4 linked regions of the Medicago truncatula genome follow. The protein of the gene in region 2 binds, or shares a complex with, the protein of the main gene of each other region. Links are inferred from orthologs where the notes say so. Each region holds a gene or a part of one and is shown on either strand. Other genes may lie near its edges. The genes, in order: chromatin assembly factor 1 subunit FAS1, WD-40 repeat-containing protein MSI1, VIN3-like protein 1 and polycomb group protein FIE1.

The links.
Region 1: WD-40 repeat-containing protein MSI1 (region 2) and chromatin assembly factor 1 subunit FAS1 share a complex: the UniProt entries of both Arabidopsis thaliana proteins name them as parts of the chromatin assembly factor 1 (CAF-1) complex. The link is inferred for Medicago truncatula from reciprocal best matches to the Arabidopsis thaliana genes MSI1 and FAS1.
Region 3: WD-40 repeat-containing protein MSI1 (region 2) and VIN3-like protein 1 share a complex: the UniProt entries of both Arabidopsis thaliana proteins name them as parts of the plant homeodomain / polycomb repressive complex. The link is inferred for Medicago truncatula from reciprocal best matches to the Arabidopsis thaliana genes MSI1 and VRN5.
Region 4: WD-40 repeat-containing protein MSI1 (region 2) and polycomb group protein FIE1 share a complex: the UniProt entries of both Arabidopsis thaliana proteins name them as parts of the plant homeodomain / polycomb repressive complex. The link is inferred for Medicago truncatula from reciprocal best matches to the Arabidopsis thaliana genes MSI1 and FIE.

The regions. Positions count from the first base shown.
Region 1 is NC_053048.1:37,406,598-37,414,273, reverse strand, and holds the start of chromatin assembly factor 1 subunit FAS1, read left to right. Parts: upstream 1-4,671; 5' UTR 4,672-4,866; coding exon 4,867-5,358; intron 5,359-5,574; coding exon 5,575-5,674; intron 5,675-6,632; coding exon 6,633-6,780; intron 6,781-6,871; coding exon 6,872-7,013; intron 7,014-7,655; coding exon 7,656-7,676. UniProt on the Arabidopsis thaliana protein: Component of the chromatin assembly factor complex (CAF-1) involved in chromatin assembly following DNA replication and DNA repair. Assembles histone octamers onto replicating DNA in vitro.
Region 2 is NC_053045.1:46,472,563-46,480,282, forward strand, and holds the start of WD-40 repeat-containing protein MSI1, read right to left. Parts: upstream 3,013-7,720; 5' UTR 2,919-3,012; coding exon 2,247-2,918; intron 2,162-2,246; coding exon 2,009-2,161; intron 384-2,008; coding exon 259-383; intron 169-258; coding exon 73-168; intron 1-72. UniProt on the Arabidopsis thaliana protein: Core histone-binding subunit that may target chromatin assembly factors, chromatin remodeling factors and histone deacetylases to their histone substrates in a manner that is regulated by nucleosomal DNA.
Region 3 is NC_053047.1:39,580,227-39,587,501, forward strand, and holds the start of VIN3-like protein 1, read right to left. Parts: upstream 3,001-7,275; 5' UTR 2,711-3,000; intron 1-2,710. UniProt on the Arabidopsis thaliana protein: Involved in both the vernalization and photoperiod pathways by regulating expression of the related floral repressors FLOWERING LOCUS C (FLC) and FLOWERING LOCUS M (FLM).
Region 4 is NC_053042.1:9,566,465-9,574,082, reverse strand, and holds the start of polycomb group protein FIE1, read right to left. Parts: upstream 3,006-7,618; 5' UTR 2,833-3,005; intron 885-2,832; 5' UTR 844-884; intron 462-843; exon of another isoform or gene 367-461; intron 1-366. Other genes in the region: protein phosphatase 2C 51, read right to left, coding at 4,514-4,824, 5,942-6,047, 6,395-6,838, 6,927-7,226. UniProt on the Arabidopsis thaliana protein: Polycomb group (PcG) protein. PcG proteins act by forming multiprotein complexes, which are required to maintain the transcriptionally repressive state of homeotic genes throughout development.

The sequences.
Region 1 (7,676 bases), on a different chromosome or scaffold from region 2:
GGGATGCTAAAAAACTTCTATTTTTTAATATAAAAAATTATTCAATGCGGGGACGGTGATGGGGCGGGGATACCCGAACCCGTCGGGGACGGGGATGAGATTCAATTTCTCATCCCCGTTGGATATGGGTAGGGTAACGGGTAAGTATATGAGAATCGGGTATGGAGATGGGGAAGGTAAAACCCGTCCCCTCCCCGCCCCATTGCCATGCCTATATGCAAGGTCCGGGGTTCGAATCATGACCACCACCAAAAAATGTAAATATTAAATAGATGAAGTTTATATTTTAAAAACTACTTATTATATTTATTATTTATATATTTTATGAACTAAATTAGAGAAAAACTGATAGTTTAAGGATTAAATTGATATTTTATAATTTAAAAATTTATTCATTTGTAAAATTTAAAATAAATTTTTAGTGTGTTTTTACTTAATAAAAATTTGTACATAAAAATACTCACATATTTCATTAGTTTCTTTTTTAAAAGAATGTTTCAATAGTTGAAAAACACTTAAAGAAACATATATAAATTAACTATCACCCCCCAGCAAATAAAGTATTGGAGTATTTGACTAAGTAGTTGGACCAAAGCGATTAATATTAGAGTCATAAGTGACTATAATAAGATTTATAAACATATGGATCTTCTAAAAGGGACCAACACACAATAACAATAAAAAAATTCCTCCTATGCCACATTTAAAAGACCATTTGCAAATTGGAGTTGATGTTTGAAACTTTGATGACGCAAAACTATAAATATGAGTGAACCAATAGTTATTTGAAACTACAAATTTTAAGGTCATTTCTAAGAGTATGTGAAAGAGATTCGTGAAGACAGCCACACAAATGACTTGAAGAATTTGCGATGATATGTCTAAAAACCCTAAATTTGTTTGAATGAGCAGTTAATCACAAAAAGTACAAGTCCTTCTCTAAAATTATCAATTTTCACAACCAATTCCAAGTAACATTAGCAAGCTAAGAATGGCGATTATGAATCAAAAGCCAAGAGTACTCACCACTTGCTGAGTAAATACTTTAAGAAGCAGCACCATAAACAATTATATTATACTGTCTATGTGTGGTATTATGAGGAAATTGCTAATGCAAAAGCTTTGAGACGATGGAAAACATGAATGTGAAGCAAATCAAAATTCCATGAGCCACTTTGTAAGATATCGTGAAACATTAAGGTTGTATATGTGATGTGAACATATAGAACTTGGTTGGTTGCCAAGACAACCCTTACAAAGACATTTATCATATTAGATAGAGAAAAAAAAACTTTAAAATAATGTGTTTTTTTAAGTTATACCTTTTATAAATTAAAACATTACTTGCTTATAGTTTTTAACAAATCAGATCATCTAAAGTACATTACTTGCTTGTAGTTTTCACACAGATAATATTAACTTGCTAAATACAAAATTTGAACAAGCATTTCGAGTAAGTTCTCGAAAGACCGCATCCAAACCGAACTATTAGTCCGAATTAGGATAAGTGTTTGAAAATTTGAAGACCAACAAGGCAAAATTCGAAAAGAAGCTGTTTTGAAGACCTAACCTCAAAAAACTAGCATATAAAAAAGTGCAGAAAAAGTTTTAACAATGACAATTATGTTTGGGAAGTCATCAACTTTCAAAATTCAGAACTAGAATATACTTGGAAAAAAAAAATCTAAGTTAGCTAGAAGACACAGATCATTCATGCATCATGTAGTTGGTTTCTTCTATGAATCATTCTCCATGTAAATTAGTTCATTTCCATTATATAAAAATAAGCCTACTATATAACATTTGTTCTCATATGATAACACATCTTACTGCTATTTGATTTGAACAGTGTATGAAACAAACCCACGAGGCTATATATCAAATTTTACTTTTAGTCCTCGTAAAAAAAAAGTTCAAATACCTCTCAGGTCCTTTAAGTTTCATGTGTGTGTCAGATAGATCCTTTAAGTTTCCAAGGTTTCAGATATGTCCTTTAAGTTTTAAGTTTGTTTCGAATAGGTCCTTTAAGTTTCGAGTTTGTTTCAGATAGATCATTTATATCAACCTCCGTTAAGCCAAAGTTGATTTGATAGAAAGGACCTATCTGAAACAAAATCGAAACTTAAAGGACTTATCTGAAACCTTAGAAGCTTAAAGGACTTATCCGAAACAAACTCGAAACTTAAAGGACCTATATGAAACCTTAGAAACTTAAAGGATCTATCTGACATAAACATGAAACTTAAAGGACTTGAGAGGTATTTGGCCTAAAAAAAAGTGGCATTTTCACATCCTTTACATTATTTTAGCATGAAGTTTTATTTGTTTTGTAATATTTAATTGTATATGTGTTTGTGTTTGTTATATGTGTTTATGTTATGTCAGTTTTTTCAAGTCTGGAATATGGAGAACTATGCTGATACATGTGCGCGTGCGTGCGTATGATATCGATATCGACCCCAACTATACCATTGATAGGCCGCACACAACGTGGTTCATTCATGGCATGGGCCATGAGTCACTAGACAACTACATGACATTCTTTGATTGCCTGCAGGTCAGCTTCATGATCTTCTGCTCCTGCGACGAACATCGTCATGTTAGTACATTGATTAGATAAATTGTGACGGCAAAATGATTTATTATCACTTGTCAGAGCGTGTGAGGTGGCAACATGAATGTATTGAGACCATTATGAGACATCCTTTCTCCCTACTAGAGTCAAATGTCTTTCAGATAGACCAAACATTCCAATATTTTTTGGGTGCATGTATACTTGAGGACACGTGAGGTATATTTTTGGAGACGCGATGGTAGCACATATTGAGTTACATTTCCTGACTCTATATATCTCATTTGAGACTAGTGGCTCTGGTGGAGGAAGATCCACCTAGGTCATCAAATGTTGAGGTTCTGATATAAAAGGAGCATGCCAGGGATATTTTGGATACGTCACAGTTGATCACGAGGTTAAGGACCATTTGCTTAGATGGGAAGGAAAATGGCACCCCATACTATAGTCTACACGATACTCTCCATCGTATTGTCAGTGATGCAAAGTTGGCCACTCAATATTAAGCTGCATAGTAGAGGAGGGCATTTCGATGAAATTATATGCATTTTAATACATCAATAGTTATGCCCCTATGGCATTTTGAACGTATATTGAATATTTTCACTTTTGCATGAATCACGCGTGGTTTTGTGCCATTTTGAATGTTGATCAAAATAATTTTATGGTATATTGAATGTTTAGTGTGGTTGAAAGTTTAAGTGTGTTAAAGTTGGTTGAACTTTGAATAAATTACACATAATTATGCATTTTGGTTTCAGCTACCGCATCATAACTTCTGATCTTGAGACCAATTTCTAATTTTTTATTTTGAGATTAGTTTGTAACCCATGATTTCAAGCAAGCGGGACATAACTCCCGATAGATGTATTTTCAAAAGTTTAAGGTGTTTTGTGAGCAATTGAATGTTCCTAGAGAGTAATTTGCATAAATAAATTTGTTCCAAAGCCTAACTTTTTATGGTCCATGTTGAAGAGTCTCACATCAGAAAGATGGTATGATAATATGTTTATAAGTTATACAATTCTTACCTCACAAATCGGTATGTGGGGGCATGTTAGTCCTAAGCACAAAATTATAAGACTGTATCAGAGCATCCTCTAAAATCTATTAGGCCACACGCCATCAGGTTTTCCGCTATTGGGACACCCACCATTTATATTCACGCTCTAGACATCTAAGTTTGGAGTGTGAGGGGGTGTGTTAAAGAGTCTTGCATCGGGTAGGAGATGATATGACAACATATTTATAAGTGGGGACAATCCTCGCCTAACAAATTGGTTTGTGAGGTTATGCTAGATTCGACCATAAATTTCAAGAGTCCATAAATGTCAAAGTCCACCATCCTTTTTTTTAACCTCCACGACTTTGTAAATTAAAACTCCTTGAAATGCATCATGTTTTTTATTTTATAAAAATTCTGGTTTTTATTTATTTATGTGTATTTGACATAGATTTATGCATTTTTCCTCCACTAGTTATGAATTTAAATGAATTACTTACAAAATTAGCATGAATTTATTATTTGATTAGTTATTTTTATTTGTATATAATCCTGTTCAACCAGTTTCTTTTAAAAAAGAATTGTTCAATCAGTTATACAGTAGTCCAACTGATTGAACCATGACCCGAAAATCACATCGGTTCAATTCCTAATCCGCTCTTTTTAGAGTATTGAAACCATTTATTATTGGTCTATTTGCATAATTAGTTGGTCATTTGCGTTCGCAAATATGACGTGCGACAAAGATTTTTCTTTGATTTTACATCATTAATATCCTACTCAAATAAAATATTTATTTTTAATTGATATTGTTCAAATTTCAACTTCGCGCATAATTTTATTTAAAATAGATTACCGCTTCGCGCGTAAATTTTATATCAACTTCGCGAGTCTTATCAAACGGTAGTTTTGTTTCTTATTCGAGTTTCGACTCTCTTGTTATCCATTTTTGTTTTTAAAAACAATAACTAGAATATAAATTGCAAAAATATCTGATACTGGTTTTTTTAGGAGAAGATTGATGATATTGATTAGAACATATTAAGGTTATTATCTAAATTTATTGTTATTAATGAAAGAATTGAAAGGTGTCAACGTAAGAAGTTGAACATTTGGATTGAAAGTGGAGGCAAGAAAAGGCATTGGGCGCCAAACACCAAAAAATTTCAGTTCACTTTATTGTTTGTTTATATCATTCATTCAACATTTCCCCATTTTCATTTTCATTTCCCTTATTCCACCACCGATTAGGGTTTTTCTTTTTCATTTTCAGATCTCAAATTACACAACCATGCAAATCGACACCACCGTCCATACCACTCCTCCACCCCCACCACTGCCACCACCTCAAGATCCAACACCAAATCGCCCCAAATCCAACCCTCGAAAGCGAAAAAAGGAAGTTAATTCGCGGACTCCCGAAGAGAAACAAGCACAAATCGAAACCCTAGAGAAAGAGCTTGAAGGGTTGTTTGCTTATTACAGAGGGGTTTTGGCTCAGAAAGTTGTGATTGACCTTAAGCAATGTGGGGGTTCGAGAAACGTTGTGGTTGCGGCTTTGATGGAGGAGAGTGAGCTTCCGTTGTCTAAGCTTGTTGATGAGATTTATGAGAAGGTGAATTGTGAAGTGGCGAATGCGGGTATTGTGTTGGCGGAAGGGGTTAATTCTGCTTTGGTGAAAAGTAGTGTGTTGTTTGTTGGGCAAAGGATGATGTACGGAGTTCCCAATGCTGATGCTGATATTTTGGAAGATCATTCTGATTCATGTCTTTGGTGTTGGGAGGTAATTTTGATTTTTTTTCTTGATTTTTGTTTTGAATTTTGATGATATTTCTTCTAACTATAGTTTATTTGTTGTTTGATTTAACCGGGTTATCTTAAATCTGTGTAAATCAATGTTTTTTGGATGTTGATAATAATTGGGTCTGTGTTGAAGTTGAATGTGTATTGGTTACACTGTTTGCTTGCTGCTGATGGATTTGCTATGTTGTCATTGTAGACTAGGGAGGTTAAATTGTTGCCGAAATCTGTTCGAGGAGAGCTTGTTATTCGACGCACTTGTCGGAAAAAGATCCACGACAGGATCATGGCTGTATCTGGTATGGATTACATTGCTTTGGCTGACTATGGTGCTTTGAATGTTGTTAGTTGATTGGTTCCTTTGATTTATCAGTGTTGTCAAATACAAACTCAAACGGTGCTATATCACTTGCATAGTGGGATTTGAATAATGTTATGCATTGAAAATCTCAGAAAATAGCCGTTTGTTCAGAATTCCAAGTTTAACAAACTCAAACGGTGATATATCACTTGCATAGTGGGATATGAATAATGTTATGCATTGAAAATCTCTGAAAATAGCCGTTTGTTCAGATTTCGCCATGCAATACTGCTATAGCGCAGCTATAGTGTCTATTTCACAATATTTAGTACCAATTAGCGTATCGCAGAACAATATCGGTTTTGTTTAAATTCTGCTATGCCATAGCTCTATAGCTGCATTTAACAACATGCATACGAACAAATCACAATTGTTCTGGGTTATGCTTTTAAACAAAGTATTGTCAAATAGTGGCTATTGCGACATTTCTTTTTTTCTTTTTTTGGTCCGGTAGACTAGTGGCTAGAATTCACCTTATAAGGTGAATAAGTGGGGTGTCTGGGGTTCGAACACCGGCCCCTGCATATAATAATGCATTGTCCTACCAACTGAGCTATACTCACGGGACAACACTTTGCTCTCCTAGCCGTAGGATAGTGAAATTCGCCTAAAATCGTGTCACGTTTAAGTAAATCGTGACATGTTTTCTTCGAGGGGTTCCAAACCTAGTGAAAATGTTCTTCTGCAGGAAGTTGACAACCGTCTTTGTATTGGAAAAGGAATACGTTGTTGATAGCGGAATATGCAAATAATCGGCGTACATGACATTTATGACGATGTTTTGTCATGTTTTCCCTTTTTTAAAGCATGTAATTGTTTTGTGAAAGTTTTGGCAAAACGACAGCGTTTTTGTTTACTGTGTATTTTATTTTTTTTGAAATTTCATTGCCTTGCAGAAATGATTGCGTCACTGAAGAAACAAGAAAGCGAGCCTAATTATAGTCAAAACTTAATCAAGGCCTCTAAAAAGCTGAGTAAAACTTCTACTGAGGCTGACATTCGTGTGATAGTTGAAGGCTTGTTGCAGAAAAACAATGAAGACATGTATGTAACATAATGTTGCTATCCTGACGTGTTCAATTACCTTGCAAATGTATGAATTGTTCATTTGATTTTTTCTAAATTATAATTGCAGGGATAAGAAAAAAGCAAACCAAGAAGAAAAATTGCTAATTAAACAGTTGGATAGAAATAGAAGAGAAGCTGAGAAAGAAAAAGAGAAAGAGAAAGAAAAAGAAAGCCTACAGCGTGAACTGCAAACAGAAACAATTGCCATTGTAAGTGTTGTTTTGATTCTGTTTATATTGTTTATAGCTCCAATTACTTCTTACTCGGTGATGCTTTCACTTGTAGTGAAATTGCGTTTTCTACATACTTTAACTTGAAAATTCCAAATTTCCATTACATTTGTTCGAAGGTACTACCTCTGTCCAAATTATTAGTCAGTTTTGGAAAAAAGTTTGTCCCAAATTTAAGTCATTTTACAATATCAAAATGAAACATCAATGATTCTTTTCCTATTATACCCTTTAATATTTATTACTCTTTTTTACAATTTTTATTTATCTTTTCCATACCATAAATGAAGTGTAATTTTGTAAGGTACTACCTCATAATTTCTCTTTTCTATACAATATTAACTACATTCCTTAATTTGTGTGAAATGGTAAAATGACTTATAATTTGGGATGGTGGGATTAATATCGAAACCAAAAAGCCAAAAGTATTTGCACGACGTTGAGGTAGGATTGGAAATTAACTTGCGGACAACATTATGATAATCCATTGCATTAGATAGTAATTATTAGAGCCTAGTTGATATATTCATTCTTAATTTTTGCTTCTTCATTCATCTAATGAAAATAATTCATTTTGAGAGTTGACAATTTTCCTTTTCTCCGACTGCCTCATTGTTCTAGGAAACAAGTTCAAAGTTGTCC
Region 2 (7,720 bases):
AAACATTTCAGGGAAACAAATAAAAAATTCACTAAAAAGTCCAGATATGGTGATGCTTTCATTAAGCAATACCTGCTAAGATCCCACACCATCAGTCTCCTACCAAGACAACAAGAAGCCAAGACAGTCTCATTCTTTGGATTCCAGCCAACCTGGAAAACCTCCTCCCTGTTAACCCGAAAACAACAATCCAGATTAATATCTATTAAATATAATTACATCTAGAGTAAATATAGAAACAACTAAGGAGAATGTTACTTATGGCAATCAAAGGTGTGAAGAACATTGCCGATCTTGCGCAGATCCCACAGTTTCACTGTTTTGTCAGTAGAACCAGTAGCAACTATCCATTCATTGAAGGGATTGAAAGCCAAGCAGTTAACCTAACAAGATCCAATGTCATTATTATATAAAGAAAAGTGTTATTAGAAGTGATATATATTGAGAGTAATATCAGCATTGTGAAAACTCTAGAACACTGCTAAAAGATAAAGTCGAATTAGAGCACAACGGAGAAGACATTATAAGAAGCCAACAGATTGAAAATCTGAGTAAAGACAGGAAATTATATCAGCAAGGAAAATATGAGAAGCCAGATATGTGAAATATGGCCACTGTACAACTGCAGAGTGGAGTCTCGGCCAGTTCTCAAATATTGACCGTGATTAAAAATTTATGCATTATCCGTGTTTAGTTTTCAATTATCACCCACCCCGAATGAAGTCTTTCAACACAACGTTGAACCTTTAGGTCTAATATCACTATGTTTTGATGGGTTGGGTCAAACATTCTCAAAAACTCATAAATTTCAAAAGATATAATGAAGATTGAACAGTAATAAATTGATAATTTTAGAATAATCACAAAATATAAGTCCATGTTTCAAATTCCCTCTTACAACAGCACATCATAATTCATATCTAAACAACAATAACCAATATTTTTCTATCCAACTTATTAATCTCAAGATTTTTCTTCAATAGTTTTTTATGCCTTTTATAGGCCTTCTTCTACCTCTAGTAATTCTCCTCCATCTGATCTATTGTCCTTACGATGGAATCCACATGTCTTCTTTCTACATGCCCAAACCACCTAAGCCTAGTTTCCACTATCTTTTGTACTATAGGTGCTTCCCCAGCTCTCTCTCAAATGTTGTCATTTCCAATCCTATCTTGTCTAGTGTACCACACATCCAACACAACATCCCTATCTCCGCCACGCTTAATTTATTTTCATATTGGTTCTTAGAGTCGTCCAATGAAATTTTCCCATCAACTTGAGCAGTACTTTCGCATCACATAAAATACTTGAGGCCCTATTCCATTTCAACCACCCAGCTTGAATGGTTTGTGTTTAACTTCCCTGTATCTGTCCACTTAACATGATATCCCCATGCCATGTTCATTTTGACGGATTCACCAATCCCTCACACTAATTTCCACAAAATAGTTGCTACTTCAAGCCACAAACAATTATCTAGATTAAATCTATTTTTACACAAATCAGAGAATATGCAACAAAAACTCACATCAAACAAATGCATATTCCCACAAAACCAAACCCTGAACTAATTATACTTCCTTGAAAACCCAAATGTAAAAGAGCTTATTATCCAAAACAAACTCCTAGGCCTTCCTACATTTGCATCACATAAAGCATTGGAGGCCCTGCTCCATTTCAACCACCCAGTTCGAATGGTGCATGTTATACTTCGCCGTATCTTTCCACCTAGCACGTTATCCCCAGGCCATGCTCATTTTGACAGATTCACCAATCCCTCGCACTAATTTCCACAAAATAGGTTGCTACTTTCAAGCCAAAAACAATTGTCCTAGATTAAATATATTTTAACACAAATCAAAGAATATGCAACAAAAATTCACAACAAACAAACGCATATTCTCACAAAACTAAACCCTAAACTAATTATACTTCCTTGAAAAAACCAAATGTAAAAGAGCTTATAATCAAAACAAACTCATATATTTAAATAGATTAAGCAACACACCTCGCTAGAATGAGCAATGCAAGACTGAACAGGCTTAGTAACAGACGGTGTCCTTAGATCCCATACAAGCAAATACTGATCATCCCCAACAGAACCAAACAAATACTCATGCCTCAAATGCCAAGCCACGTCTTCCACAACACCTTCATGAACCTAAACAAACAATAACACAAAATCATCAACAACAAACCAAGCAACAAAAAACAACAAAATTAAGTAGAAAACCCAATAAGAATACCTTAAAAATCTGATGAGCATCAAGAGACTTATTCTTAGGAGTACCATTAATATCCCACAAACAAATCTGAGCATCATCAGAACCACTAAGCAAATGTCCTTGTTTAAACTTACTCCAAGACAAACCATACCCTTCAGTATTATGACCTCTTAACCTCAAATCAGGGTTACAACTTCCATCAATTGGAGGCTTAGAAGGATGTTTACTATAATCAAAAACATAAACCTCAGCACTAACCGTCTTAGTAGCAATCACAAAACTATTCTGAGGCATATACCTCGCTCTATTAACCTCACCATCATGATTAATCTGTTGAATTATCTGAACCTTCCCATTGGCACAACCAAACCCTCCAACTTCAGGACGATCGTCATCGTAATGACGGGCGTCGTTTTCGGAGTCGTCGAGAGGGAGTTGAACTTGAGCGAGCATGAGATAATTGGGTTCATTTTCGGAAGTGTGGGTCCCGAGGATGAGTTTTTGGACGGAGTAGTCTTTGCCGGAGGGTTCAGTGCGATCTGGAAGCCATTCGACGGTGAGAGATGGCCATTCGAGAGCGTGAGTGATGACGAGATCGTAGAGGAAGGGACTGTTTTTCTTCCAGATTTTGTATTCTTCGTTGATTATTCGTTCTTCTATTTCGCCTCTCATTTCTTCGTCTTCTTTCCCCATCCACTTTCAAAACCCTAACTCTCAAATGTGATGTTGTTTTTTCGAGGGAGAAATATAAACACTCACTAACCCCTTCTCTATCCCACTACTTCCCTCACTTCTTCACTTACCCCTTTGCCGTATTTTTATTAATTAAATTGGATTATCATTTAATAAAAATAATAGAAAATTAAATTGAATTTGTATATATTTTTTTTGATGAAGAGGAAATTAAAAGACAAGAAAACCAAACTAGTCAATCCGCTGCCTAAATACCCCAGAGGTATCCGCAAGCATGATGATATCCAATTGAGATGGAGGAGAAGTCCACATCTTCAAGGAGTCAGTATTAGTTGCACCAAATTTAATCAACCAGTCAGCACATTCGTTCCCTTCTCTCAAAGTATGACTAAATGAGACCACCCATGAAAGAGAAGAATTGAATTTGTATATATTGATGCTTAGAAAAAAAAAATGGATACACAAATTTACAAATTTTTTGTGAATAAAAATTTAGGTGAGTTGATCTCTGGGGACTTACGAGAGTTAGGATAGGTCTTAAGGATTAATGAACATTATCATTCATCAGATATTTGGTTCTCACTCTAAAATTAAAAGTTCAACTCACGACCTTATGGAAAAATCAACTTCTTACGAGTCAACTTTTATTGACAAATTTTTTGTTACATGAAAAGAAAAAATTGTTTCAAATGTTTCTTAGTAAGTGGTAAAAGGTATTGAGTGACAATGATGTGACGTGACGTTCATTTAAAGATGTTAGGATAAATCTACATGAGCACGTACCCAAATAAAATTTATCTGAGCACACATTCACAATTGAAAATAATTAAATGAAAAAATAATTAATAAATGTGACCATATTATTGTTTCTTAATATTTTTATTTATGAATGTGTGCTTGAATAATTTTATTTGGGTTTGTGTCTAAGTAACACTTCCACGAAGATGTTATCCATACATTTAATTTAATGTCATTGTTATACCTTCTAATTTTATTTTCTGATAAACCAATCTAAACTTGTGTACCTCATTTGGTCACTATTATAAGTAGAAATTCATCTTTTAGATTGATTCAATATGCAATGTATGTGATCTATATAATAACATAAATCATTTATTAGATAAATTTAAAATGTGGATTTTTGCTAATAAAAATGAGGGTAAATACCTCTTTTCGTCCATGTAATATTAGTGAATTCCGATTTTAATCCCTGTAAAAAAAAGATTTAGATTTTGTCCCTGTAATTTCATATTCTTCCACTTTTGGTCCCTCATTCCACCACGTCAGCAGAATCTGCATACATGGCATGTAAAATGAGGGACCAAAAGTGGAGGAATATGAAATTACAGAGACCAAAAGTGGGAGGAATCTGAAATTACAGGGACGCAATTGATGCAGATTTTGTTGACGTGATGAAAGGAGGGACCAAAAGTGGAAGAATATGAAATTACAGGGACAAAATCTAAATCTTTTTATTTACAGGGACTAAAACCAGAATTCGCTAATATTACAGGGACGAAAAAAGGTATTTATCCTAATAATGACTAGAGCGTGTATGTGTATGCCTTACGACTTACACATTAAGAAACATGGTTTCCTATTTGTAAAATTCATCGACTAAGATCGTCCACAACGGTAGGTGCTTCGCTTATTTAACACAACATTAAATAGCCCCCATTGTAGTGTACACCCTGCAGACACTATTATTTAATTTTAAAAATTTGTACTTTAAGAACATTGACATGTTATGAGGAACATTGACATGCTACAAGGTTGGTTTTAATCACTCTTACTACATAGTCATGAATTGGTGATATGTTGGAACTTCACATTACCTTTTATATTTTCCTAACTATTCATTTACATGTATTTTTTAAAATACCAAATACACGCATTTCTCTACAAGGTTGGCCAACTAATGTTTTTATGATAATGTGAAGAGGAATCTTTTAAAGGATACCATATGTTGGTATTGTACTGTTTGATCTTAAAAGTTGGTACTTTCATAAAATTGGCATGCTATAAGGTTAGTTTTAATCACTCGTACTGCATAGTCATGTATTTGTGATATGTTGACATTTCACATTACCTTTTATATTTTTCAAACAATTCCTATATTTTTATTTTATAGAATACCATACACACAACTTTCTCCTTTAAAAGATTTTCTATGAAAGATTTAAAATGTGCCGTCCTTTCAAAGCGAACAAGAGATATGTGAATATTTTTATAAATATTAGTTGAATTTCAGCTTGTGTGAATATCTTTGTTATTACATGTTATGTTATGTATGGTTTTGGATATGTTGATCACATGTGAGGAAACAATGTTTGGTAGTTACTATTGTTTCGAAAAATGTAACTAAGAATTAATATTGTTTGATTGAATTCAAGGACCAATCACAAATATAGTCACTAATTGAAGAATGACATATATATTTACCTTTATTTTTGGTGCAATAAGACAATCAAATTAGTATACAAACATGAATTGTTTGATCACCTTTCATATTTTATTTATCTATGATTTTACTCTATTTGAGATGTTTTTATTCGTCGTTTGCAGGTTGAACTCAAATATCTCTTTCATTTTTTATTTATATATGCTTATATCTAATAACTTCTCATCAAAAGGTATGAACTCAAATATCTCTTTCATTTTGTTTTTTGAATGGCAAATATCTTCTTTATTGTTGTTGATTTTTTATTCAATTAATTTAGTAATTATTTGAGTAAATAGACAATTACCTCTCTGAAATTGTAAGTTTCGTCAATTATCCTCTGACATTAACAAAACTTCAATTACCCCCCTGAAATTGCACAACGTTAATCAATTTACCCCTTCCGTCAAATTCTTCTGTTAGTCAACTTGACGTTTTGCAAATACCCCCTGAAGTTTTGCACTTATGTGCAAAATGCCCTCGAACTTGAAAATTTATATTTTTTTTCTTATCCTTGACTCAAAAAAGATATTAAGGTGTGTAATGCCCCTGTTCTTTTTAATGTAAAATTTGACTTTTCTTTATACTTTTAGTTACTTAACTGATCGGTTAATAAGACACTTATGTTTGTTGTATTAAGATTATCAAGTTTTATTTACCTTTAAAAAAAACTTTTTTCCCAAACTTTTTCTTCAGGGGTCTTTTCCCATACTTGTGTAACAAACAAAAAAACTTTAAACTTAATATCTCAACAGGTTTTTACTTACCTTTTTTTAAAAGTTTTGTCTATCTTTTAAGATAAATGCTTGTGTACTTATTTAAGTATTTTATTTGTTTATGTTGTTCTGTAGGTTATGGAAAGACAGTAAGCGAATGTAAGTCACTAGAACAAACACTTCTTTCGGAAAGTTCAATGTGGTGAGAATAACAATCTCCCTCTACCCTTAAAGAAAAATAAAGCAAAAATATGCTTCCTCTACCCTTAAAGAAAAATAAAGCAAAAATATGCTTATATTAGGGTAACACACTCTATTTAAAATGTTGAGGAGCTATATCGCAGGATCAATCATTCAAGAAATTTCAAATTCGATTATCGAGCGAAATAACGCTTAGTCACATTATACATACCTCATGGTCGAACCCCCAAGGAAACACACTATTGAATCTGAACAATTATTATGGTACTGAAACTGAAAATGTTGAAAACAGTAACCAATTAATCGGACTCGAGTGGTTAATGAGCTATACAGTAGGATCAATTGTTCAAGAAAATTCAAATTCGTTTCTCGAGTGAAATCATTCTTAGTTAGATTATACATATTTTATGGCCGAACTCACCACATTTCCATTGAAACTAGAACACATTGACGTTCATAATAATACCATAATATTGTAACTCAGAAACAGAGTGTGACTATGGAGGTATGTGAGTAATGACAAATATTTTTAATAGAGGAATACCTAGAACTTGGGAAGTTGACTCTAATGTAGTTGGTCTTGCAAAAAAAGACATATGCTCAATCACAGTAACATCTGCAAAGACATAAACACGATGTCTTCCTTTAGCTACAACAATGTTGTGAGGGAAATTTGTTAAGATATTGGAATTCTTATAATATGATGTTCTAGTAGTTTTTGAAAATTGCTCATATATTTTTATACTCTTATCAATAATCAAAACATGTTTGAATAACGCTCTCTTGACATCGTGCCAATATGAAAGATATTTTGATGATATGTATATTTATTGACGAAAATATCCATATCACGAGGGACGATGCAAATTATTGGAACTCACTCAGGTACTATCTTGAGACTACTGAAATATTGACCAAGTTATCAAATTTAATAAGTCAAACACAAAAAAGTAATTCCTTAATGTTTTATATGAGTGGTCATGGCGTTGAAGTTGGCGAAAGATTCTTCGGACCTACTGATATTTTACTTGGTAAGTTCTATTCATATTGGTTATTAAAGAATATTAGTCTTAAAGGAATCCGAATATTATATCGCACTTGCTAACCATGACTAAGCTGATTTGACCCGCAAACTTTCATCTCCTCCTCCATCATCAATTTCCTTTTCTCCTCCATTATTCTATCATGTAGCGCTCCCTTACCGAATTGTCCTCCTCCACCGTAAAAAAGTGCCCACATAAACATTAAGAAAGAAAGAATAATTTTGTTGGAGCATAAAGATGATAAGGAAATTAAATCAACCATAATAAATAGAGAATAATCACTAGTTTCCCTTAACCTAAATCGTATATGCACCCACTTTTTATATATTTAAAGGTTAAATATGATTTTAGTCACTATAAATATACAGCTTAATCCATTAAATTATAAAATATATTCATTGT
Region 3 (7,275 bases), on a different chromosome or scaffold from region 2:
AATAAATTTCAGTTTTGATAACTAACAAGACAACATGGACAACAGAATCATGGTTGAAGAAGTCGTTTAAACAAGGATTAAATTCAACAATCACTCCAATCTCTTTGTATTAATAACAATATCAAATTCTAAACCACACAATTGGGGAAGTTTATATCATATATGTTACATAATTATATTCTATGCATAACAGAAATATACATTAATTAATGCATTAATATTTCATAATTGCGTATGAAAAAAACAGAACATCACATATAGATCAAAATTTATTTTGCTGCGTTTTAAGGGACAAAATAAATAGATGTTTATATTGTGAATATGTACAAGAAAGACCCAAAAAACATATCCTATTAAAATAGTAACACAGATTGGTTTTGTAGACAATCATCATAGCCTCACCTAATGTATTACTGAAAATTTGGATAAATTTTATGCCACATAATTCATCGTTATTTTTTTCCTTAATAATATGCCACACTGTTCACAAAGTACAACACTTCCGCATAACAAAAGAAAAACAGTATACTTTAACTTAGCATGATTTCTTTGTGGACTTTCATTCCTCTAAAGTCCAAAATTATTGATTTTAGTCACCATAAAATGAGCAACTTTTGGCTTTGATTCCTGTAAAATATTTTTATTGGTTTTTCATCACTTTAAAATAACAAATCGCTATTTTTGGTCTCTAACATTCACTTTAGGTTGAGCCAAAAAAAATCTCCGGGCTCAAGATAAAATCTTAGGGAGTCATATATGCTAACAAGGCACCACCGACACGATTAGGTGCCACCTGGAGAGGCCACTTGATCTTGTGTTGGACACATAAGTAGTTAAATGACGCCGCAAGACGATAGAGACAAAAAATAGTGATTTAAGATTTTAAAAACATATTTAACCCAAATATGAATAACAACGACTTTCCAAGGTGATGCCACAATAAGAGTAGAATAGAACAATACTAGTTTGTAACTATATCGGTTCAGCATTTAATAAAACCATATATTAAAATCGATAATTGACTCTAAGATAGCGAAAAACCAGATTTGATCCCAAACCAAATATACTTACAAGGCATATCAACGTATAACTCCATTTTAGGATCATAATTATAATACGTTGCATAATATGAGACAAACAAAATTCACATTTTGAATAACAAAAAGGAAACAAATATCATCAAACACTCAAGTAAAAGTTAAAAGGAAACAAACCACAAGACTAAAAAGTGAAATAATGATATAAAGGGTAAAAAAGCCTTGCAAAAGAAGCAATATATAACAATTCATTGGATTGAAACTATACATAAAATTAGTTTTAATAAGCAAAAGAAAGTAAAACACATTAAATAACAGCTTCCGCAAACAAATCACACGTTAAGTATCTTTTCCGAATCCTCTCCAAAAAAATAAAATGTATCTTTTCCGAAGTCAAATTTCAGACAGCGTTTTAAATCATGTTCATTTTTTTTTAAGTAGATTAACATGACACGATTAACATGGCACAAATGAAAAAAACAAAAATAAGAACAAAGGAGTGTGTTGGTGATATGCATAAACATCATTTGTGAAAGAAAGTCTGAAAAAAAGATAAAATTGTGTGAAGTCTGAAAGAAAATTGAAAAAACAGCATTAACCAAAACAGCAGCATAACCACTAGATGGCTTTGTTCAGTTCAAGAACAATCTATTATCAAACACTTCAAAAATTTATCATGGATTGTTCAGTTCTGTTTGCATTTCAATATTAATCACGGGAGGAAGCAACCACGATTCTTACACACCAATCTCACAATGTAACTCATCAATAAAGTACAATAAGAGAGAAAGACAGATATGCATAATCACAATGCAAACTAGCAACTATAGCGTTAATTGATTGATGAATAATCCCTTAATTAAGCCCTTACGGCAGATTTTCATATATTTAGAGACTAAAATGACAGATTTGATATACTTAAGGGCAACCATCAGGACTCTTAAAAGAGTAATCAACCGATCAAATACCCTTAAAAGTGTTATTCTCTTGGGGCCAGTCTCGAACCGAGTACCACAAGGTTGTAAAACAAACTTACAACCAAGTGACCTCACCCGAATCCGACAACAAACGGGCTCTAAATTGAGGATTTATTATCAATTGATTGATTGATGGATATATATTAATTAATATTAAATTAAAAATAATCAATTAAAAACAAAATATAAATCAGTCTCCAACACAATTGTATTATTTTGCACATTTGATTTAAACACACAATGTCTGATGAAAAATAGACTCAAATAGTCAATTACAGTTATGAAAAATAAAACAAACCTATTATTATCATTATAACAATAACTATTTACTCAAAACAGATGAAGAAAAAAAAACGTATAATAATAACACCACAATTTAGAGCCATGAATGAAAAACTGAACATAAAAACAAAACAAGAATAAAAGATCACACATCACAACTTAACCACTCATTCAATAAGCATTGCACATATCAACAAAAATAGGTCAAAAAAACATCAATTTTAATATTTAAAAAAAATCAAAATAAAGGGAAATTATTAAACAAATAAAAAGCACAAATTTTTACAAAAATCAGAACATGGGCAAGAGGAAAATCAGAACAAATCTATAAAGGGTAGACAAAAAAAGAAAAAAAAACATAAAACCTTAAAAACGTGAAAATTAAGGATAAAGGGATACGAATGAAAGAGTTACCTAAAGGAGAATGAGGATTTTAAGGTTATGAATCTGAAATCTTAAACAACACAAACACACAAGACAAATTTGGTGGTTTATGTTGTTGTTAGATTATGTTGTTGTTTCTGTGATTTTGAGAGAGAAAGAGAAAAAGGGTTGTGTTTATTGGTAGTGTTTATAGGTGAATGAAGTGACACGCGCTTAAGATGGCGCGTGAGGGAGTTGTGGTAGTTTTTTTCTTCTTCCTAGGCTCTTGTTGTTTGGCTGCATGGTATTGGTTAGTCAGCTGTGTGAAGTTTTCAGCTTATGTTACTTCTTTTCATGTTTTTCAGGTTTTTGTTGATGTTACTTTTGTGGACATTATTGCCCCTATTCTTTGAAAATTATTTAAGTTGTTTTAAGGTTTAGTTATGTTTTTAGAATAGGTTTTAAATTAGATGTAGCATATGTTTTGTTTGGTTTGGATTTTTGAGGTTTTAAACACGAGTTTAGTTGTGTTATTGTTGTGATTTCTTGGTAGCTATAAAACGAAGGTTTTATGTGGACGATGAAGTCTTTTATAAACAGAAGTATATAGTTCTCTTTGTTTTTATGTTGTTTATGTGAGAAGGTGATTTGATTGATGCTAGTTTCTGACCAAAAAAACAAAAGAAAAAAAATATGAGTATGTGTGATATAGGTTAATCTAGACATAGCGCATCTTTAAACTCACGTTTGTTAGACCATCCACAATGGTGGGTGCTTCATCTATTTAGCATCATATTAAATAGGCACCCCCATTGTGGAGTATAATATATGGGTGGCTATGGAGAACGGTGGCTATGGAAGCACCCTCTCTTTCTTCATTTTTCATGGGTCACATTTAATAAATCTTAATAAAATAAATAATTTTTGTTGAAATGTAATGATATAAAATTATTTGTAGGACTTATTTAATAATTTCTTTTGAGGTGTTGGGTTGGAGAAAATTGGTGTTTATTAAGTATTACCGTAAAATAAGTGATGTGGACATATGAAATTAATTTAACCACTCAGTTTAAGGTGATATATTGTGGATGGTCTTAGTAACTATAAAATGAAGGTTTTATGGAGACGGTGAAGTCTCTTTGAAATAGAAGTTTATATTACTTTTTGTTTTTATGTTGTTCATGTGAGGCGGTGATTTGATTGAATGGCAGTTTTGACCCAAAATAAGTAAAAAAAAATAAATGAGTATGTTTGGTCCAACTTAAATTGGATGTAGCATATGTTTGATTTGGTGTTTAAGTCTCGAAACTCACGTTCAGTTGTGCTGTTGTCGTGATTTCATAGTAGTTACAAATAAGCTTCTACGTAGACGGTGAAGTCTCTTTGAAATAGAAGTTTGTAGTTCTCATTGTCTTAATGTTGCTTATGTGAGACGGAGATTTTTTTTGCGGTGGTCGGAGTTTGAACCTTTGCATATATTATATGTTGTCCATATGAACTGAATTAAGCTCACGAGGACTGAGACGGGGATTTGATGTAACACCCTAAACCCCACTTATTATTTTCTAATAAAAATACAGTAATTAATTAAACATGCAAAGGTGTTTATGAAAAAATCATTGATAGAGATTAGGGTTGACCCTTGGTCCAATCCTTGTTATAAAAAAAAATCATTCAATCCTTTGATCCTATGAAAAAAAAATCATTCAATCCTTGTTATGAACAAAATCATTCAATCCTATTAAAAAAATCATTCAATCCTTCTAATAAAAATACAATAATTAATTAAACATGTAAAAAGATAAAGGATTAGGGTTGATTTTGATCCAATCCTTGTTATGAAAAAATCATTGATAGGGATTAGGGTTGACCCTTGGTCCAATCCTTGTTATGAAAAAAATCATTGATAATGCTTCCAGAAGACAAATATTAAACCCCCAAAGTAATTTAGACTCAACAATAGTTTTGCCTCCAAAAAGTTGTCTAAGAGACTTAATAACTTTTATAAATAAAATACGTGATCATTTTCTAAAAAAATAGAGAAACAACAAAAAAATTGAAAGGAAATGTGCAACAACTTTTTTTGCTCCAAAAAGTTGTCTAAGATACTTAAGAACTTTTATTTTTTTGAAGACATAAAAATGGAATATATTAACACTGGCGGTGAGTGCTCCTCAGTACAAGGTGTACCGAACAGACTACCCCAAATAACAATATGTCATACAAGTTATATACAAGAAAAACAGGTTAGTCGATACTCAAACAAGTCAAGGGGTCCGACCACCATCTTTGCACACCATAAACAAACTTGGCATTATTAGCCTTTACCCACCATAATGAATGGAATTTTACTTTATCTAGAAGCTGTAATATAGGAGTTTCAACGTTTTTAAATACTTTGTTGTTGCGTTCACTCCATATTAGCCAAACACCAAGAAGCTACAATAATTGAAGAAAAGCACAGCGGGCCTTAGATGATCCTGTATAATGAATAAATTGGAGAAAATGGTCAGTGATGGTAAGCGGTTCTACTCCCGCCACTCCAACCAGGCCCTAATTTGCTGCCACAACGACCGAACACTTCACAATGAATAAACAAGTGAGCTGATGTCTCCTCAAGCCCACACCCTGTAGCACACGAAGTCCCCGCCTCTTGCACTATGCCGCGCCTAAGGAGATTGTTCCTGGTTGGGAGCATGTCCTTTAGCAAACGTCAAGCAACAATGGACACCTTTAGGGGAACCTGCTTATGCCAAATGAGGTCTCTCCACACGTCAACAGTGGAAGATACCGAAGTTGTCAGAATCTGATAAGCACCTTTGACAATATATCCTTCATGAATGTTTGGATCCCACTGCCACCTGTCAAGAATATTAGCCTGCACAAATACACCATCAAGTAGTACCCTAAACTCCTCTAACATTTCTTCCTCACACGTCCACAATCTCCTCCTCCAACTCCATGCCTCTCCCCCTTCCCCCCATCCGCGATCACAAATATTCGCCACAGTAACAAATTTATTAGTCGCTAAATCAAACAATCGACTAAACCTTCTACACAAGGGGACATCTCCTAACCAGTTATCAAACCAAAAGAACGTATTGTTTCCATCACCTAACACCCTAGATACCCTTTCGCCAAACCAACCACCATTTGTGCCCTCAATCCCATCCCTAATCTTCACTACCTCCCTCCACCAAGAAGAAGCACTCCGGCCCCCAACCTCCAACCTCCCAGCCACCTCACTATATCTCGCCACCAACACCCTATACCAAAACCCACCTCTATCCACCAACAACTGCCAACACCATTTATCCAACAAGGCTAAATTAAACTCTCTAAACTGCCTCACCCCCAGCCCTTCATACTCCTTACCTAAACAAATAGAGCTCCAAGCAATCCAGGAAATTTTCCTGTTATCCTCACTCCCTCTTTAAAAAAAATTCTTAAATAAAGTTTCAATGGAAGAGATTATATCTGTCGGAGCTTTGAAGAAAGAAAGAGTGTAGACAGGAAGCGAGGTCAGGACAGACTTAAGAAGAATCAAGCGGCCCCCAAAAGATAGAAAGCGACTCTGCCACTTTGACAGTCTAGATTTAATAGTAGACATCATAGGTTCCCAAAAGGCTAACCTTCGAGGATCACCATCAATTGAGAGACCAAGATACAAAAATGGAATATTACCCACCTTACAATTTAAAATAGATGCTGTTTCAGTCAACCACGAGTTCCCAATATTAATTCCTACCAGTAGACTCTTATGAAAATTCACTTTTACACCGGACATATCTGCAAATAAGTTCAACACCGCCCTTAACACTCGAACATTGGCCCAACTCTTAGTACCCATAAGTAGGGTTGGGAATAGGTCAGGCCGGCCTACAGGGGCCTACGGCCTGGCCTGTTTTGGCCTGGCATGGCCTGGACTGTTTAGTAGATAGGCCTAGGCTTAGACTTTTTAGAAAGCCTGTTTAGTTAAATAGGCCAAGCTTAGGCTTCAAAAAAAGACTGTTAAGCCTAATAGGCCGGCCTATTAATACTTATTTATTAAAAAATATTTTTTTATATTAAAATAATTGCATATATTAAAAATATAAACATCTTTTTCTCTATCTAGTTGAAATTTACTTGTAGTGAAATAGGCTTTTAAGTAGGCTTTAAGACATGTTTAACCTATTTAGTAGGCCAAATGAACTATTTGATGGCCTTAATATGAAGTAGGTCTGTAAGTAGGCTTTCAGGCCAGTCCAGGCTTTTAAATAGGTCAGGCCAGGCCTAGAAAAACGGCCTATGATAGGCCATAGGCCAGGCTCAGGCTTGTGATTTATTTCGTAGGCCAGGCTCAGGCCTATCAAAGCATGGCCTGGCCTGGCCTATTCCCACCCCTACCCATAAGTAACGTATCATCAGCAAACTACAGATGTGACACCACCACAGAGTTAGATAAATAAGATAAGATATGCGATCATTTTCTAAAAAAATAGAGAAACAAAAAAAAAAAAAAAAAAAGGAACGAAATGTGCAACAATTTTTTTGGCTCCAAAAAGTTGTCTAAGAAACTTAAAGAACTTTTATAAATACGTGATCATTTTTAAAAAATAAAAAATAAAATAAAA
Region 4 (7,618 bases), on a different chromosome or scaffold from region 2:
CTTTTCTACTATAGGTGCTACCCCAACTCTCTCTCTAATGGTGTCATTTCTAATCATATCCTGTCTAGTCTTATCACTCATCCAACACAACATCCTCATCTCTGCTACGCTTAATTTTAGATAAACTTCATTGGGAAATAAAAATGTCCGCTAACATGTTCATTGACATGACATAAAATAATGTACTCGTATTTTTTTGCCTATTTTCCACTTATTATCGGTGGATATCATTTTGCATAACAAATTATCGGTGGATATCATTTTGCATAACAAATATATGCAGAAACTGCACAAACAACATGGACAAGAAGCAGCTATTCAGCGTTTTTATATTTGCTTTGGATTAAGGAGCATTAAGTACTGGACCTGAGAAGAATACACGCGGTAAAATAAGTAATCTGCAGATATGAAAATCTCAAGAATCTAAAATCTCAGAAACTGTAGTAGTTGACAGCCAAATAAAAAGCTACCAGCTGAATTGCTAGCCATGAGAACATGATAATAACAAGTAAACTACTTGACTTGACAATACAAAAGAAAACAAATGAGATATTATAATCCCATTAAATTTCTGCATGAAGTTATTAGTTAAACAATCTCCCAGTCAAAAATGTCAATCAAGAAATATATTGCATTGCATCTTTCAAATTCCTCAAGTTACTCCGTCAAGTACATAAAAAAGTAGAAATACAGCAAAGCATATGAAAATTAGGGGTAGCACGGAAAGAAACAGATCGAAAATAATGATACAATAGATCCAATTAAGGAAGCATGTGCAAAAATCAGATATACACATTCAAACAATAAAAAACGAAAAATACCGTGAAAAGGGAAAAACCTTACCACTCCGTGAAAAACAGATTCAACAAGAGAATGACAATCACCTAAAACGGGAGAAGAAATCAAGGAATTAGATCTAGATTGGAGAATATATATGAAACGAGACCAATGCCAATGGAGAAGAGTACACAAAAGCTCCCAATGAGTTTAGCAACGGCGGGAGAGAAAGATATATGTATATTTTAATGTCGGTTCAACGGGGGACGGCCCATCATTGATTGGGCCAATCCCTAACCCATTTAATCTTTGAAATTTCAGATAGAGTCAAAAAAGCCATATCACTCAAAGGACTAGATTGGGGGAGTCATGCTAGTGGCAAAACGTGATAGGTCATGAGCTAGCCAGTATGGACAGTTGTATCTAACATTTATTTTTGGTCCGTAAACGAAGTGGCAAATACCACATAAAACTCACACACACAACTGCAAGGCCTTACGGACATTGTATCTAACATTTTACTCGCAGTAATTATTTGGCCAAGTCACTGATTTACGGAGCGAACACGCCAATCTCATCTAGTCTAGATAATGTAAAACAAATATCAAAAAGTAGAAAATATGCAAGGAGAAAAAAATATAATAAAAAAAACCACTAATACCTAATCCAAAATGACAGTTGGCATTGACCAAGTTCAATAACAATTTAACAACAAATTCAAATCCAATTCCAAATGATACATGGAAAATAAGACAATGTAAGGAGCAAATTAATAGTAAACAAAGTCCTTTTGAATCCATTGCACAATGATCTTCCTACTCATTCAAAACATATCAAGGTTTCCCAAATAGGTTTTAGAAATCTTTTTCACTATCGGGATTCAAAGGGAAAAAATCACTTCCAGCTTCCATTCCTATTATATTCTCAGAACTGATTGGATATTAGACCTCTTCCACATAAGGCATTGATGAACTCATGATTATCATAAGATTCTCTTAATATTCCTTCTTACATAAGTGCTTTTAGAAAGGTTTATTGAAAGAAACTGACTCTAAGTGGTTGTTTGAAATCAAAGTAGCCTCTTCTAAACATGCAGTGAAACTATAGCCATTAATTGTAGCATCTTGCCAAAACACGCGGTGAAACTGAAATGACTGCCGAAGCAAACACTTAATAAGGGCTTATTTGAATTTGCTTATTTGAGCTTATCTACTAGCATAGGCATTTGTGAGACTGTTTGGGAGAGCTTATGACATGCTCGTAAGCTATTTTAAGCTTATTTCCATAAAATCTCCAATATAGCTGAATAAAAAAGCTTATATCTTATACAAAAAACAATTTGACTTTATTTATTTTGTGTAACAGAAATAAGCCTTGTTTGATAAACAACTTAATTGTCATCTTATAGCATAAGTGCTTATCATAATAAACACTCATGTATAAGCTATTTCTATAACAAAAGTTAAAATAATGTTAAACTATTTTGCGCAAACTATGTTGGAGTTTATAAACATAAGGTTTTTTCATAAGTTCACTCAAACAGTCTCACAAACATTATGCTAGTATATAAGCTAAAATAAGCCAATCAAAACAGGCAGATAGTTTATTCATAAGCACTTATATGATAAATGCTTATGCTATAAGAAGCTGCAAATTCAAATTAAGTGTTTTAACCAAACACAACCCATGTCTTTTAGCATCTAACTTACAAGAAAAAAAAAGTTTTTCCACCAAATTGGCATTTGATCAAACACTTAGCGTGCAACCAAAGCTGAGAAAATGAAAATACTCTCTCATAAATTCAGTGACAAGAAAAACGAAATCTCAAATGAAATGTGCAAATGATGAACAATTTCGAAATAGTAACCATAATTTAAGAGAAGAAAATGAAAATATAAATATTCATTTCAGAATATATGAATAAGGAAACAATGAGATTGTTACAAAAATGGAAACTTTACAATACAATACAATACAATATCGTAAGTGAGAAGAAAAAAAACAACTCTGAAAGTGAAACATGAAAATGAAAGCCTGGAAAAGTGAGAAGCTTACGGTGGCCGGCGAGAAAGAGTGGGTGAGCTGGTGAGGGATGACAGTTGAGGACTGAGTGAGACCAAATTAGTTATTAGGGTTTCATATGGTCTCAAATTTTCTTATGTAAGTGATAAATTGTTCTTCTATGGTAATTCAATATGATTTTCCCTTCTTCAATTTAAGTGGTACTTTCATGTCATATAAAAACATGTGAGTTTTGGATTTGAATTCAATTATCTCGATTTAAATTCAATAATTTACGTTTTAAGTGAAACTTTCATGTCAATTATCTTCAACTTTCACTTCTTTAATAGAAGTGTTTCTTATTTTGCTAAAATCACTTGCGTTTTACTAAATTATTTATGTTTAATTTTTTTTTTTGTTTTAGTGCTATAAAGTCAAATTTAGAGCTTTAAAATTAAAGTTAAATTGTTTGGTAATTTTTTTTCTCCCTCCTTGGTGCATAAGGATTGGTATAACCCTTCAAAAGCTTAGGTTTTTGCTTCGCTTATCGTTTTTTTTTTTTGTCTTTTTTCTTAACTCTTATAATTTTTCCAAGTTTTGATATTTTTACACCTAGATCAATCTTTATGACATTCTCTTTTTATTTTAACTTTACTTTGAATATTTTTCTCCACCATCAAGGTTTTTTAACCTTGGATCCAAAAGCTATTGATTCTCCCGGCGTATTTTTTGCTACTATTATAATCTCATGTGACATATTGTCTCAGATATCATTTGTGTTTTCTTGTGGTTGCCCGAAACTTCCCTCTAAGACCATCTCCAATGGGAGGGTCTTAACCTTTTATGATCTAGTGAGTGCCTATTAGATACTCCATTGGGGAGGAACTTTTCGAGGTCTTATAAAACCCGGGTCACACTTAAGACCCTCTTTCTTAAGTGGGACCCACACCTTTTTAATATTAAAAAATTTATATGTAATAATATAAAGTTATTGATAGTTGATTAGTAGGTCTCGTTTAAGAAATTTATGCGAGATGTTAGGTTGAAGGGATTGAGTTCTTATGTGAATGGATGGAGGAGATGTTTATGTACATATATTTAAAGGTGAATCCAATGATTTGAAACCCTTATAAAATTTCTATTTTGATTTTGAATTAACCTTAGCTAATAGCTAATGAAGTTCTAATTTCATTTTTGTAGCAACAAGAGAGGTAAAACATTTGCAAGGTGTGATGTATAGTAATTAAAAGAAAAATGCTCACAACAAGTTTATTCCAGTCATGAAATATGAAGATCTAAACTGTTAACTTTGCAAAAGATTGATCCTTAGACCACTTTTTCAAAATTAGATACCACTATATACTATCATTCAATTTTAATTCTCACACAATTCTCATATCAATAATCTTGAAAAAATGTCACGATATACTTTAAAAAAAAAAAAAAAACACTCTTTCAAACATACACGATAATATTCAATAACCACCAACTCATATGTTTGTCATTGTTTCTAATATAATGAAATTTACTTCGAGCGAGATCAAACTCACTTAAATTTCAATTAATCGATAACATTGAACATATCTTAAAAGAGCGTGTTTTTTTTTTGACGGATAAAAAAGCGTGTTAGAGATTGTATTTCTCACACTAATTAATTATCATTACTATGTACTTGATAATATCTTGGCACAGAGGGTGCACCCCCTTGATTTAAAACTAATAAAGTCATCAATTGTCAACTAGATTTTAATGTTCCTCTTAGGTCAACAACTATGACACTTGTATTGTCTCTGCTACCCTTTGCCAATGCTATCTCAGATAATAGTGTTGCAGCTTCAGCAGCACGATTACTTTGATTCTCATTCCCATGACAAACTCTCCTAATTTGGCCTTTGAAACATTTTCTTACAACTTGGCATGCAATTTCACTAGACATTACACCCCACAAGCCATCACTTGCTAGTATGAGAAATTCATCTTCATTGGTTCGTTTTGTCACGGTGACTTCAGGTTTTGATATTACATATGGTCGAAGATATTGATCTCCTGCATGCATCAAATTTCGTAGTTAGAACATATCAAATTGGTTCTTAACAATAATCATTAGTTTACTAATTCTATTTGACAAAATATATATGTAATCGATTTTATCAGTTATTTATAAATGATTTAATCGAGCTTAGCTAAAAACTCGTGCTTCATGACTTGTTAAAAATTAATAAATGTTTAGGTTGACTACAATAAAACTAAGCTTAAAACTAAAGCTTGACATGCATATTTCTTAACAACCATTATATTTAAACACTTTTAATTTTTCAACACTTATTCAACACCTCATTTTTTCTCCGTCTCACTTCTTATCACATCACATACTTATCACATTTAATCACAACGCATACTCTATTTCTATCTCTCTCATGGGTGTTAAAGGATATAGGTCTACAAACACAATTTTCCAAAAGTAAGTAAAAATATCAAGCTCAATTTATTGATGGATTTTGAACTTCTTTTTTTTGCCTCATAACCTAAAAGTTAGAACATTCTGTAATAAGTTTACAATATATAGCTCAACTACTGCTCAACTAATTTACACCCAAACTTTGATTAATTGATTATGTGGGATTTACAGTTTTCCATGTAATTTGATAGTAGAAGGATTCCTTAACCTCTTTGAAATCAACGTGTTTATACAACAAATATTCTTGTATTATTGAAAATTTCCACGTGTTTGACCATACACACAAGTATTAAGAACAGGTCAAGATTCATATGTAATAATTTATTTCCGTCCAATAATCTTCAAAGATTTAAATAATGAGACACTTTCCCAATAGTATTAAGATTGAAAATCATATACGCAAAACATGTGGCAAACTTGTTTTGTATAAAAAAGAATCACATTCTATTATAGATTCTTCTTTATCAGAGAATTTAAGCAATGTGTCATCTTGATTGGTTAAAAATTTAAAAGCAATCACGCATATGATCAAACTTTACTTTTTTTTTTGTCAAAGTTACTCTGCTATTTTAAAAATGGCTGATCAAAGAAAATACATGCATATAACAAAGTAGAAAATATAAATAATCTAAAAAAAAATGGATTAACCAACATTATCATAAGCTAGAAATCTAAGTATTTGTGAAGTTAAAATTTCATACAAACCTATAGATCGTGAAGTTGCAAGAACACCAAGAACACGGTGGCCATTCCAGTTTATGACTCTTCCACCAGCTTCTTCTATTCTCATCAACTCATCAGGCCTGTTTGGCTGTGTACAAACAAGGAAATCAATATTACCTTCATTCATTATCATACAATAGTTTTCTTTGGAATGAAAAAATTTATCTACTTTAAATCATCTAAATCTAAATATAGTACAAGATCTCAAATCTCAATAATAATCAAAATCCAAATAATTGACTCTAGAATCTAGATGCAACAATGTATAGATATTGCAATTTGCTGCAATCTCGGTGTGACTATATATGTTTTTCATACACATCAGTCAGAAATCAAGCACATGATGAGAGCATCCAATTATCTATCTAGTTGTATACTGCCTAGAAATTAGTACTATCAAATATATTAAGAAAATCAAATATAGTACTACAGTACCTTATGATCAGAAGACAACTCCACGACTTCACCACCTCGTCCCAAAACGGCTCTAGAATCACCACAATTCGCAACAACAATCTCCTCTTTAACAACAACCGCCACAACAGCCGTGGATCCCACGGTCCTAACCGTGGCATCACCCGCCACCTCCCTATCCATTTTACCAAAACACCCTTCCATCACCCTCTCCCAATCCCATTCCCTATCCTCCCAAAACATCTCAACCTCCTCCGCCACAATCCTATACAACCTCTCTCTACACGACACCGCCACCTGAGCACCACCGTGACCATCATAAACACCGAAGAAATCACACTTCTCTCCATCCTTCATCGTAAAACCTATCTCCATACTCACCGCATCCTCCATTTCCTTCCTACAGCCTATGGTTGACACCGAACCATACGATAGAGGTCGCTGTTGTTGTTGATAATGCTTCACCTGCAAATAATAAACAATGAAATAATATGAGACGCACTGTCCTCAAGGATTTTCCGTGTATAATAAGCTAACAACAACAACAGTGTACCTCTCCGTTTTGCTTGGACAGCTGATCATCTTCCTCAGATGATGATGAAGTTGCTAACGACAACGATATCTCAACAGATTCATGAATCTCTCGTCGCGCATTCTCCGTTTTCAGATCACCGTCATCGGAGCCATTTCCGACGTGGATCTTTGCTTGACAACTATACTTCATTCTCCGAATTTTCAACCTTCTCCGGTGAACATTCTCTAGCTTCGTAACGGCTCCAACAGGAGAATCCACTCGTCGGAGAGAAGATTCCGATGAGTGTCGTTTCATGTTCTTCATGGTCGTTTTTTGCATGCAAAAAAAATGAAATGATGTTTTTTGTGAAATGTTGGTAAAAACGGCGGTAGTGGGGAAGATGGAAATTTAAAGATGGTGATTGTGAGATGTAAGGGAGAATGAATCTAAGCCGTTGATTTTGAATGAGTTGTGTAATCGGGTAACAGGTGGAATTTGAAGGACCAGTAAAGTGGATTTTTGTGAAGGAGACGTGGATGGTTGAGATTAAATTGATGGGTACGTGGAAGGTTGATGCTGGGAGAAAGTGATACATTGTGTGGGACCAGTTGGTGAATTGAATGGAAAAATCATAAAGAAGAAAAGAAAGAGAAAGGGAACTAATGGGTTGTTAAGAAGTTTGCATAGAGCGGTGATGCATAAACATTCTTAGGTAGCAATACACCATTTGA